Linked DNA regions of Nothobranchius furzeri. The protein of the gene in region 2 interacts with the protein of the main gene of each other region in a biochemical or structural test. Links are inferred from orthologs where the notes say so. Each region holds a gene or a part of one and is shown on either strand. Other genes may lie near its edges.

The links.
Region 1: of the proteins of cgasa (region 2) and rnf185, one has a biochemical effect on the other in vitro, tested with the Homo sapiens proteins (2 studies listed by BioGRID). The link is inferred for Nothobranchius furzeri from reciprocal best matches to the Homo sapiens genes CGAS and RNF185.

The regions. Positions count from the first base shown.
Region 1 is NC_091746.1:52,069,135-52,075,112, reverse strand, and holds rnf185 (E3 ubiquitin-protein ligase RNF185), read left to right. Parts: upstream 1-2,500; 5' UTR 2,501-2,594; exon of another isoform or gene 2,595-2,863; 5' UTR 2,864-2,924; coding exon 2,925-3,109; intron 3,110-3,948; coding exon 3,949-3,967; intron 3,968-4,055; coding exon 4,056-4,168; intron 4,169-4,293; coding exon 4,294-4,348; intron 4,349-4,663; coding exon 4,664-4,781; intron 4,782-4,865; coding exon 4,866-4,963; 3' UTR 4,964-5,598; downstream 5,599-5,978. Other genes in the region: chemerin-like receptor 1, read left to right, coding at 1-786; transcription factor Adf-1, read right to left, coding at 5,713-5,978. UniProt on the Homo sapiens protein: E3 ubiquitin-protein ligase that regulates selective mitochondrial autophagy by mediating 'Lys-63'-linked polyubiquitination of BNIP1.
Region 2 is NC_091752.1:28,109,551-28,115,658, forward strand, and holds the start of cgasa (cyclic GMP-AMP synthase), read left to right. Parts: upstream 1-2,362; 5' UTR 2,363-2,408; coding exon 2,409-3,158; intron 3,159-3,263; coding exon 3,264-3,489; intron 3,490-3,649; coding exon 3,650-3,907; intron 3,908-4,091; coding exon 4,092-4,191; intron 4,192-4,503; coding exon 4,504-4,852; 3' UTR 4,853-6,108. UniProt on the Homo sapiens protein: Nucleotidyltransferase that catalyzes the formation of cyclic GMP-AMP (2',3'-cGAMP) from ATP and GTP and plays a key role in innate immunity.

The sequences.
Region 1 (5,978 bases), on a different chromosome or scaffold from region 2:
ACCAGTCTGGCTGTTTCAAACTTGTTCTTCTGTGTTTTTCTGCCCCTTGACATATTCTACATAATGACCTCACATTGGCCTTTTGGGCAAGTTTTGTGCAAACTCTCATCATCCGCTCTGTTTCTCAACATGCACAGCAGTGTGTTTCTGTTGGTTTTGATCAGCGCTGACCGCTGCATCTTGATTTTATTTCCTGTGTGGGCACACAATCACCGGACAGTGAAGAAAGCTAACGGAGTGGTCGCTCTCGTGTGGCTTCTCGCTGCCCTGCTAACGTTGCCCTCGCTCATCTTCAAGGAGACCAAAGTCCACGGTCCAATCATTCAGTGCCACACGGAGTATGGGAGTCGTTCCAGACACAAGGCAGTGGCGCTGATTCGGTTAGTCTTTGGATTCCTAATTCCTTGCCTGATGATCGTGTGCTGCTGTGTGGTGCTTGGAGTGAAGCTGAGAAGTTTAACCATCAGATCAAAAAAGCCTTATAAAATCATGGTGGCGCTCATCCTGTCATTTTTCTTCTGTTGGATCCCTTATCATACCTTCATTCTCCTGGAGCTGGACTTTAACAAACACAGCCTGAATGTGCTTGAATCTGGCCTGAAAGTGGGGGTCGCCCTGGCTGCGTCGAACAGCTTCATATCCCCCATTCTCTACGTTTTTATTGGCAGTGACTTCAATCAAACTCTAAAGAGATCGCTGACCTCAAGGTTTGAGGATGCGATGGCAGAAGATCTGCGTACAGCTGGTTACAACCAGTCAATGTCCAGGTCAATGGAAATCCATTAAAATTAGGCTGATACGTTTGTCTTTAACTTAAATTAGGCCTTTAGTGTGCCTAAAATGTAATTATTAGAGATGAGGAGAATAACCGTTTCTCTCATCAAAACAAATACTATTGTAACGGAGTTGAAAACAACTTTTAATCTTGTATATTAGAACAATAAATAAGAAAGGAATGAGAAATAAGACTGTTTCTACAACGTGAATGACTTTTGTTTGTTTTATGTTGTTTTTTTCATGTTTTTGCTAATTGAGGGTAAAAAAAAGAATGTGGCAGCATTTATGATGATTTATTTATAATTAATGTTATAAATCGTAAATTAATAATTTACTAACAAAAATAGATTGTGCCTTTGATTTGTGTATCTGTTTTCATAGAAATAGAAAAGAAACAACCAACTGTGATTGCTGTTGCTTTATGGGTGCGATGGATCAGCAAAAATTACTTTTTAGACATAGTGTCGAAATAAAATTTGTGATTTTTTAAAAATAAGCCTTACCTACAATAAACATTTACAATGATGAAATTTAACTCATAGAAAAAAATTAAAAAATACCAAATATGGGTTGTGCCTATACGTGAGGATTTATTTTTCTCAGCTTTGGGATTTGTGTAACATCTTTCATGAAAATAACTTGGTTTTTGCTTAGAAACAATACTGACATATTTAAAATAGTCAATAAACATGAATTTTAAAAATTAAAAACTAAGTTAAATAGAATATGCAAAATTCTGAGTTTAAGGTGCACATCAGTTTCTGCTCAAAATGGGTTAAATCATTCCAGAATATCCAAAAGAAATTCTCAAAAAAGCTGATTTAAAGTTTCATTCTTGATACGACAAAAGGAGCAAAGAAGGTAAAACCCTTATTTGTTTTATTTAAATTTTATGACTGAATTAACAATATACCATCTAGCAACTAGGGCTGCATGATAGAATAGATTGCGATATCGGCATGTGCAAAACACGTATCACAATGAACAGAAAACATCACAATAAATGGTCAGCTCAAATGCTTGCTACACATAATGCATTTTGTCAATCAAACAGAAGCATATGTTTTTGACAGATCAAATAGAGCCTTACCTATTTGGCATATCGGGTGGATTCTATAGGTTAGATGCCTGCCCCCTAGGCGGACGACACTTGACTTTGATGGCTAACATACAAGTTAGCTTTGTTTTGCTCTTTCTGCTGATTTAGCTTTTCCCAGGATCTACTGATTGCCTTGTCTTATTAGTTGTCTTTTCCTTTTTCCTCACATCTTTTGATCACAATTTTTGCTTTGCCCATTTTCTATATTTTTCTATTTCGTTGTATTTTTTATTTTTATTTATTTATTTTTGTTTATTTCTAGTCATATCATCATGGAGATATTAATCGCTGTTATCGCGCATTGCAGGTTTTCCTAATATCGTGCAACAGTACTAGCTACATGTTTCTGGGATACCCCCGTATGTACAGTCTATGGATACCCCTCAGACAAACATTATCTTGGCGCATAAGCAAAAAATCACTCTTATAGAAGGAATTAAACATCAGTCTACAACCAACTTCTTCACAAACCTATGTCAGAAACAATAAATTCCATAATTATGAGAAGACATTGTTTGTGCAACATTCTCCATCACAAGAGTAACTATTAGTAAGTTTTTTGTTTTTGTGTATCTACTTTTCTTTACGTCACTAATCCGGACACAAGGTAACCCCACCCCCTTTAGAAATAGCCACGCCTTTTAAAGAAACAGCCACGTTTTTTTTTAGTCCTACTCTTTTTTAGGGCTAACACCCTGCGGAAGTGTTGCAACCAGCTGTAAGGCTATTTTCGCAACAAGTCATAATTAAGTTTTAATGAGGCTATGTTACAAAATGTATGTTGAAATATTCCTTTAGCCACTGTAATAATTGTATATGTGGTTCGGTTTACGCCTCAGTTCGTTTAGCCTTTCTCCTAGCTTGCTAGCTGCTAACGGTAGCATAGCTATCAGATGACACAAAGTTAGCTTTTCCTTTCTTTTATTCAGGTTTCTTAGTGGGAGACCACTTCTGTCAGTTCCTGTCACTTTCTTATGTGTTTGACAGGAACGAACAGAGCCATCCCAACCGTATTAGCTTGAATATTGGACCGACTTTTAGCAAATAAATGGCCGCCGCTGCCCCCTCTCCACCAGTCTCTGGCTCCACCGTCTCGGCTCCTGAAAACTCCGGCCCGGGATCCAGTAGCTCGGCAGCGGCCGACGGAGGCAGCCAGGACAGCACCTTTGAATGCAACATATGCCTGGACACAGCGAAGGATGCCGTGATCAGCTTGTGTGGCCACCTTTTCTGGTAAGATTTAAATATGTTACTTATGTTTACATTGTGAAATCAGAAACCACCTCAGTTTTAGCGGCTGGACACAAGTGAACTAAACTCAGCAGTACAGCATGAACCAAAATGTTGTCTCCGGTTTTACCACTTCAATTAAACTGTGCGGAAAAAACAGTTTTAAGTTCTACCAGGTCTGTCTAAGAAGAAAGTATCATTTCTATAGCGCCTCTCAAGATAAAAATCACGAGGCGCCTATGAGCCATTTATATTCCTAACATCAATAATAAAAATACTTATTTCACAGTTTGCTTCAGCAAAAATGTTTGAAGATTGCACGAGAATACAGTTTCACTATTGTTTTTAGTGTTTTTCATTTTATATGACTAATCAGAAAAAGTTTACATTTTTTTAAAGTTCTGGAACATCTAATTAATCCTCTTATTTTGTCAAATAAAGTGGCAGTTGCCAATTTACTAGCTGATTAGGTAACTTATCTGTTTTCTTTTAGCTGATGTTTTTGTGAAATCCTTGAATCTCTTTCAAAACAACATTTTAGTCATTTTTATGTCCAAAAATTTGCTGATGAATTAGCAGCCAAAGTGGTCTGATCAGTGTTCATACAAAGTAATTATTTGTTAATTTTCTCTTAAATGTTATCCAGTATGTTTGAATTAGTATGAAATATTCAAGTAGAATTAGTGTTTATTTTTATTGTCCTTAATTGGGGTTTTTTTGACAAGCAGTTTATCTAATGTTTGTTTTCATGAATATTTTCCAATGTGGTTTTTTTTTTTTTACTAATCCTGTTTTTTTTTTTTTTTTCACTTCCATGAACTTCATTTGCTCCTGATGTTCAGCTGGCCATGTTTGCATCAGGTAAGCCTGACTTAGATTTTTTTTCATTTACAAAGATGTTCCCCTAGCTAACCCGTTGACTCGTTAACATCCGTTTATCTTCATGCAGTGGTTGGAGACTCGACCCAACAGACAAGTGTGTCCGGTGTGTAAAGCTGGCATCAGCCGGGACAAAGTAATCCCCTTGTATGGGAGGGGAAGCACGGGTCAACAGGATCCTAGGTAGATGCTAAAAAGTGTTGACATGATTTATTGTGTCATCACACTTCTACATTAACACACTTGTGGTGCAAGAATTATCATTATGTTAGTGTTTTACGGTGTATATCTGATTTGATGCTTCAAAGGGAAAGGACGCCCCCTCGACCACAAGGACAGAGACCAGAGCCGGAAAACCGTGGTGTAAGTACACAAACAAATACATCTGCACAGTTAAACCATCATTGTGAATAACTACATTAAGTTTCGTGTAAGCTCTAGAGTATTATAATGAGCTCATGATGAAACCGTGAGTCAAAAATGATGTAGGTGCTGCCGTTTAGACCTGTTTTATTCATGACTGAAAAGCCATTTCCCTCTGGGACCCATTACTAGTGAACAGCTGAGATAAAGCCCCTCATGAGAATCACTACAACTTTTACTGCTCATTGTGTCACACTTTTTTTTTCTTACTTTGTTATATGACACGTTTTCATTTTTTTCTAAAAATCCCTGCAGGGATTTCAGGGATTTGGCTTCGGAGATGGAGGTTTCCAGATGTCCTTTGGAATCGGTGCCTTCCCGTTCGGTATTTTTGCCACGGCTTTTAACATCAATGATGGACGACCTCCTCCAGGTGGTTACACATTTCCTCTGTGTTCTTTCATTTCTTATGAAAACAATTTACCCAGTAACTTCTGTTGAACTTTCACCCACACAGCAGCTCCTGGGACGCCGCAGCACACAGATGAACAGTTCCTGTCTCGACTCTTTCTGTTTGCTGCTCTGGTCATTATGTTTTGGCTGCTGATTGCATAAATGCATGGGGGGAAATGACAGAAGTGCGGCTTTGTGAGGTTTCCGTCTCTTAATCTTTGGCAAAGTTTGGACATTTAAACAGCAGGTATGATAAATGAACAGGCTAAAGGTTAAAGCTGCAGACTTTTTGCTGCTCCGAAGGAAAAAATGCATGTGAAGATCGGGAAGTTGTGTATTCTCTTCACTTCTTGCTGCAAAAATCTCAGAAATGAATTAATGAAAAAAATATATATTTTGACTCACTGGTTGAATAACTACTTTGTAATCTGCACAAGAGCAACCAGACACTGACTTGTGAATCTTCAGCTATTTATTGTGAAGCAAAAATAATTTTTTGCACAAAACTTTAATGCAACTTAATGATTCTAATGATTAAGATGTTTGTTTCCTGGAGAAATGACCAATAATACCTTTGTGTTTTTGGCCAATAGCAGCTAAGCTAAACCAGTATCTTAGCCGATTTTTTTAACTTCTTTCAGATGGAAGCGAAATTCAAAGAACTTTATTTCAAACAGTGTTCGTCTCCAGACTTTATAATCTTTTATTTCTACTCCAGTTTCTGTATTTCACTGTAATTATATGTAAAATATTGTAGACTTCATAATCAAAATGAAGAATGGCTGCTGGAAAAAACATGTTTCCGAATGTGAGTTTTTTTTTTCTACTGACGGTGAAGCTTTGTGTGATTTTAATTTGGGTTCATTAACTGTGTATTCTACAAAAGTGTGAAAGTGCAGGCTAGAGACAGTTCAAGATTTGTCCTGTGTTCCTGCCGCTGTCCTTTTCTCTTGACTCTCATCAGGTGAAGTGCTGAATTCTGCTTCATACATGATCTGCTGGATCTTCATCTTTGTTTCGCACCTGGTCTGGGGTGCGAGTCGTTTCAGAGCAGGAACGAAGCTCAGCAGAAACAGTTCGTCCTCGTCCCGCGGCCTGGACGAAAACGAGGTGGTGTGGTCTTTCAACAGCCATTTTGATTGGGAGTGTGTACTTTGAGGAGAAGAGGGTGATGGCG
Region 2 (6,108 bases):
TCAAGACCACGGTCTCAGATTTAGAGGAGCTGATGCTTGTCCCAGCTGCTTCACACTCGGCTGTGAACCGCTCCAGGCAAAGCTGGAGATCACGTTCTGATGAAGCCAACAGGACCACATCATCAGCAAAAAGCAGAAACCCGATCCTAAGGACACCACAATGGATCCCCTCAATACCTTGGCCACGCCCAGAAATCCTGTCCATTAAAGTTATGAACAGAATCAATGACAATGGGCAGCCTTGGCGGAGTCCAACTCTCACAGATAAAAGAGCTTGACTTACTGCCAGCAATGTGGACTAAGCTCGGACACCTTTCATACATGGACCTAACAGCCTATTTCAGAAGGCCTGGAGCTCCATACCCGTGAGATACCCCCCACAGGGCCTCTTGAGGGACGCGGTCGAACACCTTCTCCAAATCCACAAACACATATAGATTGGTTGGGCAAACTCCCACCACCCTACAGAACCCAGAAGGGTATAGAGCTGGTCCAGTGTTCCACGGGCAGAACAAAAACCACATTGCTCCTCTTGAATCAAAGGTTAGACAATCCGACAGACTCTTTTTTCGACGACCCCTGAATAGACCTTACCAGGGAGGCACAGGAGTGTGATCTCTCTGTAGTTAGAACACACCCTAAGGTCCCCCTTTTTAAAAATGAGAACCAACGCCCCAGCCTGCCAGTCCAGTGGAACTGCCTCCAATGTCCACGCAATATTGCAGAGCAGCGTCAGCCAACACAGCCCCACAACATCCAGAGCCTTAAGACAAAGAAGAAGAAAATATCATTTCTGTAGCGCCTCTCAAGATAAAAATCATGAGGCGCTTCACAAAAACAAAAACTATGAAAATTGTAAAAATAGAAAAAAAGCATTTTGAAAATGTTTAAGGAACTCCGGGTGGATCTCATCCACCCCTGGAGTCTTGCCATCAAGGAGCTTTTTGACCATCTCAGTGACCTCAGCACCAGTGACTGGAGAGTCCAACCCAAAGTCCCCAAACTCTGCTTCCTCACTGGAAGACGTGCCGATGGGATTGGAGAGGTCTTCAACTACTCCGCCTGCCAATCCACAATGTCCCGAGTCGAGGTCAGCAGCACACGGTTCCCACTATAAAGTGTTGGTAGCGCACTGCTAAAGTCCCCCAGCAGGACGAGGGCATCACCAGAAGGAGCGCTCTCCAGCACTCCCGCCATGTCTCCAAAAACGGTGGGTAGTCTTAACTGCAGTTTGGTGCATAAGCACAAACCACACTAGGACCCGTCCCCCCACACATAGGTGGAGGGAGGCTACCCTCTCGTTCACTTGGGTAGACCCCAACGTACAGGCACCAAGATGGGAGCAACTAGTATGCCCACCTCTGCTTGGTGCATCTCAGCGGGAACAACTCCAGAGTGGTAGAGTGTCCAACCCCTCTCAAGGAAACTGGTTCCGGAGCCAGAGCCATGCGTTCAGGTGAATCTGACTATATCTAGTTGGAACCTCTCAACCTCGCACACAGACTTAGGCTCCTTCCCCACCAGAGAAGTGACATTCAACTTGCCAAGACCCAGCTTCTGTAGCCGAGGGTCAGACCGCCAAGGTCCCCACTCTCGGCTATCACCCGTCACACACTGCACACAACCCCTTTCACCCCTCCCACGAGTGGTGAGCACATGGAAAGGGGGACCCACGTTTCCTCTTCAGGCTGTGCTCGGCTGGGCTCCATGAAAGCCCGGCCACCAGGTGCTCACCAACGTGCCCCATCTCCAGGTCCGGCTCCGGGGGGTGGGTGGTGGTGGTGGTGAGGTGACCCACGTCTGGGCGAGTGAACACCGTTTCCATGTATATTTATATTTAACATTAAACATGCAGCATTCTAAATACTTCCATCCTCCTCCCTTTCAAAGTTCCTAACAATGAGAACATAGAGCTAAGACCTGCATCTCCACATTGGTTGCCTTATCTACTTCCATAACTTCAGAGTGTGTGAGGAGGGAAACACTGAAAAATAATTTCTCATAATCTTGGACACAGAGGAACCTGCCTGTTGTAACAAAGTTCTTCTCTGCGAGACTCTATGATCAAATTTTACATCACATCATCTTCCAGAATTGGGTGTATATTTGATACAAGAAATTACAAGAAACATATCTTGAAACTTTCAGCTGTAAAGTCTGACAACACATTGTTGCAATACAAACTTTTATCCACTAGATGTAGCTACTGATAAAGAAATAAAAGTAAAAAACTTTCACATTTAAAAAATTTTTTTTCAATGCCAGCGAGTTACCTAATCTATGATGACACACAAGTCAAGTGGTAGTTGTAAAAAATCAGTTCAAGGGCAATCTGACAAAATACAAAAGGGGCGTAACAAGATGTGCATTCTTACAGCGCGTAGCAGTTTCAGCCAAGTCATTTTACCATGGCTGGCAGAGAAAGACCACAGAGGGCACAGAGTCCTGACTCAAAACCTAAAGAACTCAAACTAGCACCTTCAGGGAGATGTACAACCTTTAAAAATGAGAAGCAGAATGAAACTGCAAAGACATCAAAAAGACTGGATCAGCAAAAGAAAAACCACACTGAAGATAAGCCATCGGTGCCAATGGCTGGGAAAACAAAAAACAAAGAGGAGATTCACAACCAGCTAGTGATGCCTGAAGAAAATATAAAAGCAAAAACCTGCTCTACTAGGAGAAAATTACAGGACAACCCTCCAGGGGATATGCAGAACACTCAACAAGACACGCCACCAGAGATACAAAAGAGTTTGAAAAAGACATCTCCCAAAGCCAATGGTAAAGCTAAATTACAAGGTCAGAACAAGGACCCAACCGAACTAGAACAACTTCCAGAGAAGACTGCAACACAAACTAAAACACCTGCTGCTATGAAAGCCAAGAAATGTAACGACAAAGTCCTGCAGAAGAGAACAGAGGCACTATTAGTTAAGACTTACAATTCCTCAAAAGACAGGACAGATGACGACGTGGATTGTACTCTTAAGAAGATTCTAGAAAACTTGAAGATTAGGAGTAAGGAACGATCAGATTCATCGCAAGTCATCAATTATTTTATGAAGCATCTGATCGAGTATTTAAAAGACCATTCTATACGTTTTAAAAATGTTAAGGAACCCCTTCGCACTGGAAGTTATTATGAAAATCTGAAGGTAAGTTGAGTTTACTCCCCAAATTCAACAGTGAACATGTGGTTCATGGGGCAGATTGGATTAAAGTCAGCTCCCTATTACATGATCATATTTATGTCTGTACAGATTTCTAATCCTGATGAGTTTGATGTCATGCTGCCCATACCGGTTGAGCGAGTTAATATCGAGCCTTTCGACGACAATGGAGCCTTCTACAGTGTGGCATTGAAACGTGATCCAACTGGTGATGAGAACCCTTTGAAGAAATTCCAGCAAGACAACATTTTGTCTAGTTATGAAATGCTTAAAGAGTTCCGGAAGGAAGTGAAAAAATTTGCAAAAGTCTTTCCAGGTCGGTGGCAAAAATGCATTTTGTAAGTTGCTTTTAACGTCAATATTATCCTAATATACATTATTGATATAATGTAATTTTGCTGTGTATAAAGTACTGAATAAGTGATTCCATGTATAACAGGCAGCATGTTTATGCTTACCATAACTGATTGTTGCAGAATGGGAGATGACGGCAAAGAAACCACGCTGCCCTGCAGTGACTCTGACAAGAAAAGTAGAGTCAGTCATCATTTCTCTAGATGTTGTGCTCTGTCTTGAAGTTAAATCAACCTGGCCAACTTTCACCAAAGATGGTTTTAAAATTGAGGGGTGGCTTGGAACTAAAGCAAAACGGAACTACAAATGGAAGCCATATTACCTTGTCCCAAAATATGAAGGAAGGGGGGATGCAGAAAAAGGTGGAGTCCTTGCAAAAAGTAAGAATGAGAAATGTATTGATACTTATTTCTATGAATGTAACAGGAAATGCCATGTAATAAAGATGAAGAAAAACTGCACCTCGACATATTAAGTCCATTGCCTAAAACTCAACATGAACTCAATTTGTCTCCCGGCATCTAAAATGGTGTCTAACAGATAGTTTTGTTCTCTGTGACACAGATGTTTGGCGGGTTTCCTTTTCTCACATTGAAAAGGACATTATGAAGAATCATGGATCAGAGAGAACGTGCTGTGAAAAGGCTGGAGAGAGCTGCTGCAGGTCAGAATTTTATGAACTTAAAACAACAACAGACCAGCATTGTGCAGAAGGCCTAATGCAAATTTAGATTTAATTAAGGTATGGAGAAAAATAAATATTTCAACAGTTTTCACTTATCACTGAGGTACACAGCAATGGTATAATTTCAGTACAGTTTTTTATAATACTGTTGCAAAATATCTATTTGCAGAAAGTCTAGTACTTCTAGCAATCAGAAGAAAAAAATGTATTTAAATTGTCATCATCATCATATTTGCCTTCAGCTAAGTTTAGTTTTGACTTTAAAGTTGTCAAAATACTTTTTGCAAACAGGAAAAACTGCTTAAAGCTCCTCAAGCATCTTCTGCATCTACTGAAAGAACAAGACTCTTCCTTTGTCAAGTTCTGCTCCTACCACGTCAAGACTATGCTCTTACATGCCTGCTGCTCCAGAACCAAAGATGGTGAATGGAGGGCTTCAGATCTGAGTCACTGCTTCGAGGTCCTTCTGAAGGACTTTGAAAGCCACCTGAGAACTGGTGAACTCTGCAACTTTTTCATTCCCAAACAGAATCTGCTCTCTGGGGTTGGAAAGAACCAATGTATTAAACTTGCTGACTCTATCAAGGAGCAATGTGATAAGGGTTTTCCTGTGTTTAGGAAAGATCTTTGCAACACATAAGTGAATTTAATCTCTTCTGCCAAAACTAGGTTTGAATTGAATCCCAGGTAGAAACTGGGGATCTAAAACAAGTGTTAACTCATGAAAAAGCTTAATCATATTTGCCAAATTCAGTACCCACAAAGGCTTAGTTTTTCAATCAACGTATATATTACAAAAATTGGCTTTTTATTACTGACACTTTTATACTTACAATTATCAGTTGATATTATGCAGTAAATACAGTTGTAGCGACATGAATGGCCTCATTTGTGACCCAAAGGTCACACTTCCTCAGCTAGGTCGAGCTGTCCTGGCTGTACTTTTATTCACAGATTATCCATCACAGGAGACACAAAGTCTGCTGTAAACCATCTTTAATCTGACTGCCTTTTATCTGATTCTGTTCCATCCGCAAGATGAAGGACACGTCAAGATAAAAAAAAATCATTTTAAATAAAATCTTTTCACTGTCTATTACAAGGTTCATAAATAATCATCACGGTTCATTATAAATGTATTTAATTACTGAAATGAATTCTTATTCTTTGGTTAATAATAATTATTATTTATGATAATCAGCAATGTTTGATCAGTGACAATAAGGTCATGTGCACTTATACACATCATGCAGGACACATACATCAGGGTTAAATGTAACTGCTCTCACATGTCTTTGCTCCATAACAAAGCATTCTATCTCTGAGAGGGTGTGTCCTGAGTTTAGCTAAAACCTAAACTCCTCAGTTTAAGTTCAGTTCTTGAGCTCACCAAAATCTCTCCGTGGCACGAGAGTCCCAGAGGATCGGGTCAGCCATTCGACCTCTACTAAGCTGTTCTGTCGCGCTGATTGAATTGCTCCGACAAAACGCCATCTGCAACCAGCTGACGCAAAACTCCTTCAGAGTTATTGATTTTTGAGACGCAACCAGTTTCATCAGTCATTGTGACCCAGAGACATCTCAGGACCGATTTGGTCGCACTAAGGTTCTTCTACCCACCTCGTGATTGGGGGTTCATCATCCCACCTGACATCTCGGATCCAAAAGGGGGTCTCCTAACTGGGTGAGGTAGACACTTCCGACAGATTGCGTCCATATGCCTGTTTCTTTAAGAAATAACTTAGCTCAGCTGCAAAACAAACTCTTTCACCCAGAATGCGTTTTCTCTCTGATAGAAACCTTCTGAGATCCCATTCACACATCCTAACACACACATTTCATTTTAGTTTTCATCCAGACACAGGTTGCTTCAATACCAAGTTTAATATCAAAGCT